Linked DNA regions of Oryctolagus cuniculus. The protein of the gene in region 2 interacts with the protein of the main gene of each other region in a biochemical or structural test. Links are inferred from orthologs where the notes say so. Each region holds a gene or a part of one and is shown on either strand. Other genes may lie near its edges.

Region 1 (3,737 bases), on a different chromosome or scaffold from region 2:
TCCAAACAGCCTGGGGGCCGAGGCGTTTAACTTTCATCTGGGGGTAGTGGGGGGAGGGAGACAAGAGACCGAGAGACACAAGGGCTCTTCCTTCCTGGGTCTCCTTGACACCAGGGTCATCCCTGGGGAAGACCACAAAGAAAAAAATGTTCCGAGCAGTTCACGGGCGGCTGGCAGGCTGCCTTGGCCTGCGACGTTTGCCCCTCTGAAACCTGGCGCCACCCCTGCCGACCTGAGCTGCCCCGGAAGCCTTCCTGTCGCCCAGCCAAGCCCCCCCCCCCCCCGGCCCCATCAGCTTTATAAACATGGGTGCCCCATGCCATCTCCTCCTCTGCGTGTCTCAGGCTGCACCAGAACAGACGTTGGCTCGCGGGTGGCTGCCCTGGGATCTGTTAGTCAGGGCTGCTGCCCTAGCCCCCAGCAGAAATCCAACCGTCCCGGGCAGGGGGCGGGGGCGGGGTGGGGTCTGCTTGTTGCACTGGCCCTGCTCTGAGCACCCTAGGGTCTCCCGGCAAAGCAGCTGCTGCCAGGGCCTTCTCCCCGGGGTCCTTTTCTGCCACACGCATGGTAGGAACAACTCCCACCTTCTCTGCCACAACCAGGCGCACCCACCCGCGGCCAGGCCAGCCCGGGCAAGGAAAAGGCGGCTATACGGGGCCACCGGCTCACTGCCTACCCCTCAGAACCAGGGGGCCAACCCGAGGGGAGGGCAGGCTCCAGGCCGGGGCAGAGGGGAATTAGAGCAAAGCCCTGGTTAAAGCCGGAGCGACTGGGCGGACGCCACTGACCTGGCAGCGCTGCCGCAGGTACCGAAATTCCCAAACCAAAGCCCCCGGGCCACCCTACCAGCCCTGCAATGAGCCCAGAAAGAGTCAGAGCGGGGTGGTGGGACCGGAGACCGAAGCTGGGGTGTGGGGGTGGCGGCGGGAGGTGGGGGGCGCGGACACACAGATCGGCCAAGGCGAGCACAGCAAAGCCCAGCTCCAGAACCGGAGCCGGTCCAATCCCGCTTCTCAGACCCCTGCCCTCCCGGCTCCCACAGGGGCAAGGGGAGGAGGCGGTGCCACCAGGCCTCTGACAAAGCTTCCACTGTTTCAGTCCCCGTGGGACACCGGAGAGACTCCAGTCTGCCCACAAGAGGACACAGCCTCCCCCCCTCCCCGCCCCCGGGGCCAGGTCGGGGGAGGGATGGCCAGGGGAGAATTCTCTCTCTCCAGGGAATCCAGAGCAGCCAGGCCCACCGGAAGGCCAGCTCAGGCCTTGGGGCCCCTGCAGAAAAGCCACGATGCCCCTCGCCACGGCTTCCTCATCGTCCCGCCCCGTGAGCTCACCCCAGTGGCCCCCGGGAGGCTCACTTGACCTCTCTTCTGCCACCTGTCTTCACTCCATCACAAGCCTCCCACGCTCACCGAGGGGGACGGGGGTGCCCAGAACCCCGGGGGGCCAGGGAACTGGAGCCTGTGAGCTGCCATCTCCTAGACCTTGGCTTCCAGGCTCCTGTGGCCACAAGGGAAAAAAAAAAAAAAAAGGCCAGGATTCTAAGACACCCAGGGTGATGAGTGCTAGGCTGTGCCCTGGATGGGGCGGGAGGGGAGCCAGGGCCACCAGAAGCTGGGTAAGTTACAGACCCGTGTCCCCGGCTACTTGTCCAAACGCCCACCCACTGGACAGCCAGCAGCTCCAACAGTCGGCAGAGGCCCCACCGATTAAGAGGGGGTGCCGCGGTGGGCGGGAGGCTCCTAGGTTTGACCCTGAGCTAACACTGGGGCGGGGGACACACACTGGGGCACCTCCCTTCTGGTCACACTAGTTTTTCCTGACCCGCCCCCACATCCCCACCAGCCTAGCCCAAAGGCTCTGCCTCCCCCCAAAAAAACCGCCTACAGGAGCCCCCTCGCCGTACCCGATCGCCCCTAAATCTGGCTTCCCACACCCCACTAGGTCTCCGAGCGCTGACCTCAGCTGACCCGCCTCCCCCACCCCCCTGCAAACATCTCCGGGATCTCCCAGCCGCCCGCACTCGAACTAACTCCGCCCACACCCACCACCATGCCCCACTTCCTGGGCTTCGCCGCCGCCCCCAGGCCTGTAACTTGACCGCCTCACCTCCCCCGGCGCCCGGACCGTACCTGCAGGCCCGGCCCCTCCCCGCCCCCCTCCGGCCGCGCAGCGATCCCCTCCCCCCCACGCGGCCCCGAGCCCGGCTCCCCCTCCCCCTCCCCCTCCGGCCTCGCCGGGGCGCCTCCTCACTTTTCCTCCTCGTGCCCTCCAACTTCCCGGGACCCCCGGCACCTGCCCCGGCTCCATCCGGCCCTCCCTCCGCCGGGAATGAGGCGGGAGGGGGAGTCCGGGCCCGATCCCGCCGCCTCCCCCCACCCCCCACCCGAGCCCGGCCGGCCCGGCCCCCGGGGCTGGACGCTCAAGGCCACCCGGGCTGGCCCGGCCTCCCTGCACTCGCCGGCCCCGTACAGGCTGCGGGGGCACGGCTCCTCCTCCGTGGCAGGAGGCACCCCGGCCCTCCCCGCTTCAGCCCCCTGCCGGTCCTCCGATGCCCTCGGGCCGCCCCCGGCGGGAGGAGGCCGGAACTGGGCCCCGGACGGGCCGCCTCACCTGCGCCGTGGCCGCGCTCCGGGGGCTCCCGGCGGGCTCCGCAGCGGCGGCTGAGGCCCGGCCTGGGCCCGGGGCGCGCCCCCCTGCGCCGGGGCCTCGGCCTCCGCCTCCGCGGCCTCCACGGCCTCCGCCTCAGCAGCAGCGGCAGCCGCGGCGGCCATTCATTGTGGGCCAGGCCGCCCCAGCCGAGCGCCGAGCGAGCGCAAGCCGCGCCGCCGTCGCAGCCCGGCCGGGGGAGGAGCGGCCGCCGCCCCGCCCACTCGCCGCCGGCCACGCCCCCTAGGCGTGGCCAGCCGAGCTCCGAGAACGCCGCTCCTTCCCAGCTCCGTCTCCTCCTCCTCCTCCCTGCGCGCCTCCGAGGGTCCTCAGATCTGCAAATTGGTTCGAATCCGGCCTGGCGCCGCGCGACCTCGGACAAATCACTCTGCCTTTCTGACCTTTCGTATCTTGCGAAACGAAAACAATAAAGACCGCTGTGTGTTCCGCCAGGCACTGTTTGAGGCTCTCTTCATGGAAATGAGCTCTTGCAGAGAGATGAGGGACCGTGCTCAAGATCACAGAGCGAGAAAGTGGTGGCGGCTGCCAGGATTGAAACCCAGGTTCCAAAAAAAAAATCGACCATAATAAGCTAAAATTTGTACGATGCTCACACGGTGCCAGGTTCCGTTAGCATTTGCCCTTCACTAACTCGCTTAATTCTCACCGGGACCCAATCACGATCGCTAAATGTTCTGCCCGTTTTGCAAATGTGGAAAACTTAGGCCGAGTGCAGAACACGTGGCAAAGTGAGCAGGAATCCAGGCAGCTGGGACCGGGATGGCTCCCCTACCGCCCTACACGGGTGAAAACTTTCTCAGGGCTTATTTGCAGACATTCTGTAGTTTTCTCTTTGCTCTACGTTGGAAACGGAGGTGCTTATTTAACAGCTAAGGAAAGTGAGGCCAGAGAGTTTAGTATAAAGTTTGCCGGAGCGTGCGGGGACCCTGGGATTCGAACCCACTATATCCTATTCCACAGCCTAAGCTTTTACCAACAGAGCGTACACAGCACCCAATACCCTGGAGACAAGCAACAGGTGTCGGGCTGCTCTATTATCGCCCATTTTCTAAGCCACAACCTCCTCGCTC
Region 2 (3,714 bases):
GTGACGCATCGGGAGGGGCGAGGAGAGCTGGGCCACGTGGTCAACCCCCATCCCGCGTGGGGAACTGGGTTCGAGTCCCAGCCTCCTGCCAACGCAGACCCTGGCAGGCAGACGGCCCCCGCCCCCCGCATGGCCCTGCCAGTCTCTCCAGCCAGGGGTGGGGCTTTGGAGCTGAGGCCACTGCCAGGTCAGGGACCGCGAGACATAAAGCTCCCTCTCGGAGCAGCCACCAGCCACCAGCGCGGGGTCCTGCCGCCGCCCCCCGCCCCGGCCGCTTACCCCCTTCTTGCCGGGGATGGCGCACTCCCAGTTCATGAGGTTCATCGTGCCGTCGGGGTTCTTGGTTGGGACAGCCACGAAGCCCTGCGTGGACAAGCAGGGGAGTCCCCGGGCGCTCAGGCCGCCCCGCCCCGCCCGCCCCCGCCCCCGCCCGCGGGCTCTGCTTACAAACGGGTGGTCCTTCCTCCAGGCCTTCCTCTCCTGGGCAAGTCTGCTGAGGGCGATGCCCGACATGTTCCAGTCCTGGGGACACGGGCGCCGTGAGGGCCCCACTCCCACGAGCCCGAGTCACGCCAGGCTGGGAGGGCCCCACACCTCAGGCCGCGGGCGCACGGCGCTGCTGAGGGGGGCAGCCCAGCGCCGCTGCCCCAGCCTGGCCTCCCCCACGCAGGGCGCCTGCGCCCCGGACCCGAGGGCCAGCGCCCTGACCAGGGCCGGCCACAGCGGCCCTCAAGGTCCAGGACCACAGCCCAGGGCCCAGGCCGCCGCGCCTGGACTCCACCAGCTGCTGTCTGCCCCGTCCTCGGAACCCACGGGTGTCGCCCTCCAAGTCCCTGGCTACAGAGCCACTCCACGGCTCACCTGGCACTGGTTAGAGGGGGAGGCTCTGCCCGGGGCGGGCGGCATCCCAGAACCCAGCAGGCGAGAGCCCAGGAGAGCCAGACCTCCACAGACGATCGGACGAGGACCACGGTCCTCGGGCTCCTGAGTGCCGGCGCCTCCGGCCGTCGCACACCGCGCACGGCTGCAGGCTGAGCCCACGGCTGCTCCACTTCCCAGCCGGCTCCCTGCGGGGGGACGCCCAGGGCCTTGGGCCCCTGCACCCGCGTGGGAGACCAGAAGAGGCTCCCGGCTTCCACACGGCCCAGCCCCAGCCGACGGGGCCGTCTGGGCGAGCCAACCAGCGGCTGCGCGACCTCTAACTCTGCCTTGACAATAAATAAACCTTTAAAGAGGCGAAGCCGCCGCCAGGCTGCCACGCCTTCCCGCACCTGGCGCCCCAGCCCGGGCCCCTTCCGGGAACAGGCGTGGCGGCCCGGTCCCAGCACACCTGCCTGTGGCTCACCACAGCCTCCACCTGCACGGGCAGCGCGCGAGCCAGCCCCGGGCGCCCTGGGGTCCCCGGAAGCAGGCAGCACAGCACGGGGCAGGGGCCGGCAGGGGCCTGGGGGCCGCGGGGAGCCCGACGTCGGTCCCCAAGGCTCCTGTGCGCCTCTCACACCCTCCCCGCTGCAACCCGCCCTCCCGAGCCAGCGCATCAGAACTGCACCCCTGCCCGTGCTGGGCCCGAAAGAGCTCCGCCCACAGAGACCCCCGCGGCGGGCGGCGCTGCCCGTCCGGGCCGAGCCACAGGTGCGCACCTGCTCGGCGCCGGGCGCCCGGCCTCAGTCTCAGCACGCAGCCGCGCTGGACAGGTGGGCTGCCGCGGCCCGCACCGGCCGCCTCCGTGGCCCTTCTCGGCCCTCCCGCACCCGCGGACGGGCCCTCTGGGGCATGCACCCCACGCCTCCCTCGGCTGCGCCCGACCCCCGTCCCGGGACCCCCGCGCCCCGCCAGACAAAGGCACAGCGGCGGGCTTGGCCAGCGGCCTTGCGGGAGAGGGCCGGGGCGCCGCGCGGGGCAGGCGGCCCACACAGGCCCCGGGAGGCGGACGGAGGGCCGGGCGCGCTCCGGGCCCCGAAGACGCGCGACCCCCGCGGCGGGGCAGGGGGCTGGGGGCCGCGGCCACGGCCTCACCTTGGCCGGCACGGAGCCGCCCGCCGCCCGTGGCGAGCGGGGCGCTCTCGGCCGCGCAGGAAAACTTCCCTCGGCGGCGGCGGAGCCCCCCGCGCGCCCGCTGGTCCGCAACCGGCCGCTCCCGGCGCCCTCCCGGGCGGCCCCGCGAGCCCCGCGGCCCGAGGAAGGCGCGGCCCGGGCGGCCGCCGTGACCCCGAGGCCGCGCGCCGCCCGGAAGGCCGCGGCGCCCGCCTCGCGCCCCGCGCGGGCCGCCGACGGCCCGGCCCGAGCCCGCGAGGCCCCCCGCCCGGCCCCGCTCACCTCGGGCGGCCGCGGCCCGGCGAGCGTCACGGACGAGCGGGGGCCGAGCGGCGGCGGCGGCGCTTCCCTTTGTCTCGGGACTTCCCTCCGGAGCCCGCTCCGCGCGCAGCCCCGAGCGCCGAGGACCCCGGCGCGGGCGGGGCGGCGGGGCGGGGCCTGGCCCGGGGCTGCCCGCCGCACGCCTGCGCCGCGCGCCGCCGCCGCCGCGCCGCGCCGCGCGCCGCCCGCGGCCCCGCGCGCTCCTCGCCGCCCGCGCCCCGCCGCCGCGCGCCCGCGTCCCGCGTCCCGTCGGGGAGCCCGGCCCGGGGGCGACTTTCCAGTCAGGCGGCGCCCTGGACACCTGTGCTCTTAAAGGAGCCGCGTCCTCGAAGTGAGGGAGCGTCTGCAAACTCTCCTTCGGGGCGGGCGGGCGCACTCGAGGATACGCCGGCGAGCAGCCGGGGAAGGGGCGCGCCGCGTTCCTCAAGGGCTCCCCGGATGCCCGGCGGGCGCGTCTCAGCGCGTAGGTTCCGGAGGTCTCCTTGGGGCCGGGGCCCGGGGCCGGGGGGCAAAGACCACTGAGGCCTACGGATGCCCGAAACGGCGCAGGACGGCGACAATCCCCTGAGTCTGGCGTCCTGTGAAACCCCCTGCAATTGGCCAATGCAGGGGCCTGGGCGGGGCATCGTCCAGATCCGCCCAATCAGCTGACGCCGTACGGAAGGCCGGACGCTCGCCAGACCGACGGGAGGAGAAGCGCCGACGCTCCCTAGCCCGGGGCCGTCCCGCCTGGGGGAGGGGCGCGCCGGGATTCCCGCGCGCGGTCTCGTCCCACGAGCGCGAGCGCGCGGTTCGCGGGTCCGCGCCGTCCCGCGCGGGCACGGCGGGGTCGCCCCTGGGGCTAGGGCGCCGTCCGAGCCGTCGGCGCGGTGGGCGCCCGGGGCCAGGCGATGGGGTCGGCCGCAGAGGGCCTGGAAGGCACTCATTCACGCCCTCCTCCAGGCTCCGCCGTCCGCAGCCTTCGCAGCTCTGGTTTGCCGGGACACGGAACGTGGCTGACAGGCCTGGCGGCAGCGGCGGAGACCCCCGAGGGGGCAGAGACGCCCCTCATTCCCCGCGCCCCTAGGTCCCGGTCCCAGCTTCCCCGCGGTCTGCGCTGGGCTGTGTGGCCGTGGAGAAGCCGCTGGACCGCGGCCCTGGGGTCCCAATGGGCAGGGGTGGGGGGCAGGGCCTAGGTCTGCAGGTGGGGGGGGTAGGGCCCAGGTCTGTGGGGAGGGGGAGCTGGGGGGCCCAGGTCTGCAGGTGGGAGGGGGTCAGCTCAGGGGTCCCGGATCCGCGGTCCTCCACACGGGGACACCTGGGGCAGGGAACCCACCTCAGATGGGCCAGGTTCAAAGGACACACTGAGGCTGGGGGGGG

What was found.
Region 1: of the proteins of UBE2I (region 2) and NACC1, one has a biochemical effect on the other in vitro, tested with the Homo sapiens proteins (2 studies listed by BioGRID). The link is inferred for Oryctolagus cuniculus from reciprocal best matches to the Homo sapiens genes UBE2I and NACC1.

The regions. Positions count from the first base shown.
Region 1 is NC_091447.1:62,530,437-62,534,173, reverse strand, and holds the start of NACC1 (nucleus accumbens-associated protein 1), read right to left. Parts: upstream 2,835-3,737; 5' UTR 2,611-2,834; intron 1-2,610. UniProt on the Homo sapiens protein: Functions as a transcriptional repressor. Seems to function as a transcriptional corepressor in neuronal cells through recruitment of HDAC3 and HDAC4. Contributes to tumor progression, and tumor cell proliferation and survival.
Region 2 is NC_091450.1:33,712,202-33,715,915, forward strand, and holds the start of UBE2I (SUMO-conjugating enzyme UBC9), read right to left. Parts: upstream 2,923-3,714; 5' UTR 2,657-2,922; intron 2,474-2,656; exon of another isoform or gene 2,317-2,473; intron 2,170-2,316; exon of another isoform or gene 2,017-2,169; intron 523-2,016; 5' UTR 514-522; coding exon 448-513; intron 364-447; coding exon 280-363; intron 1-279. UniProt on the Homo sapiens protein: Accepts the ubiquitin-like proteins SUMO1, SUMO2, SUMO3, SUMO4 and SUMO1P1/SUMO5 from the UBLE1A-UBLE1B E1 complex and catalyzes their covalent attachment to other proteins with the help of an E3 ligase such as RANBP2, CBX4 and ZNF451.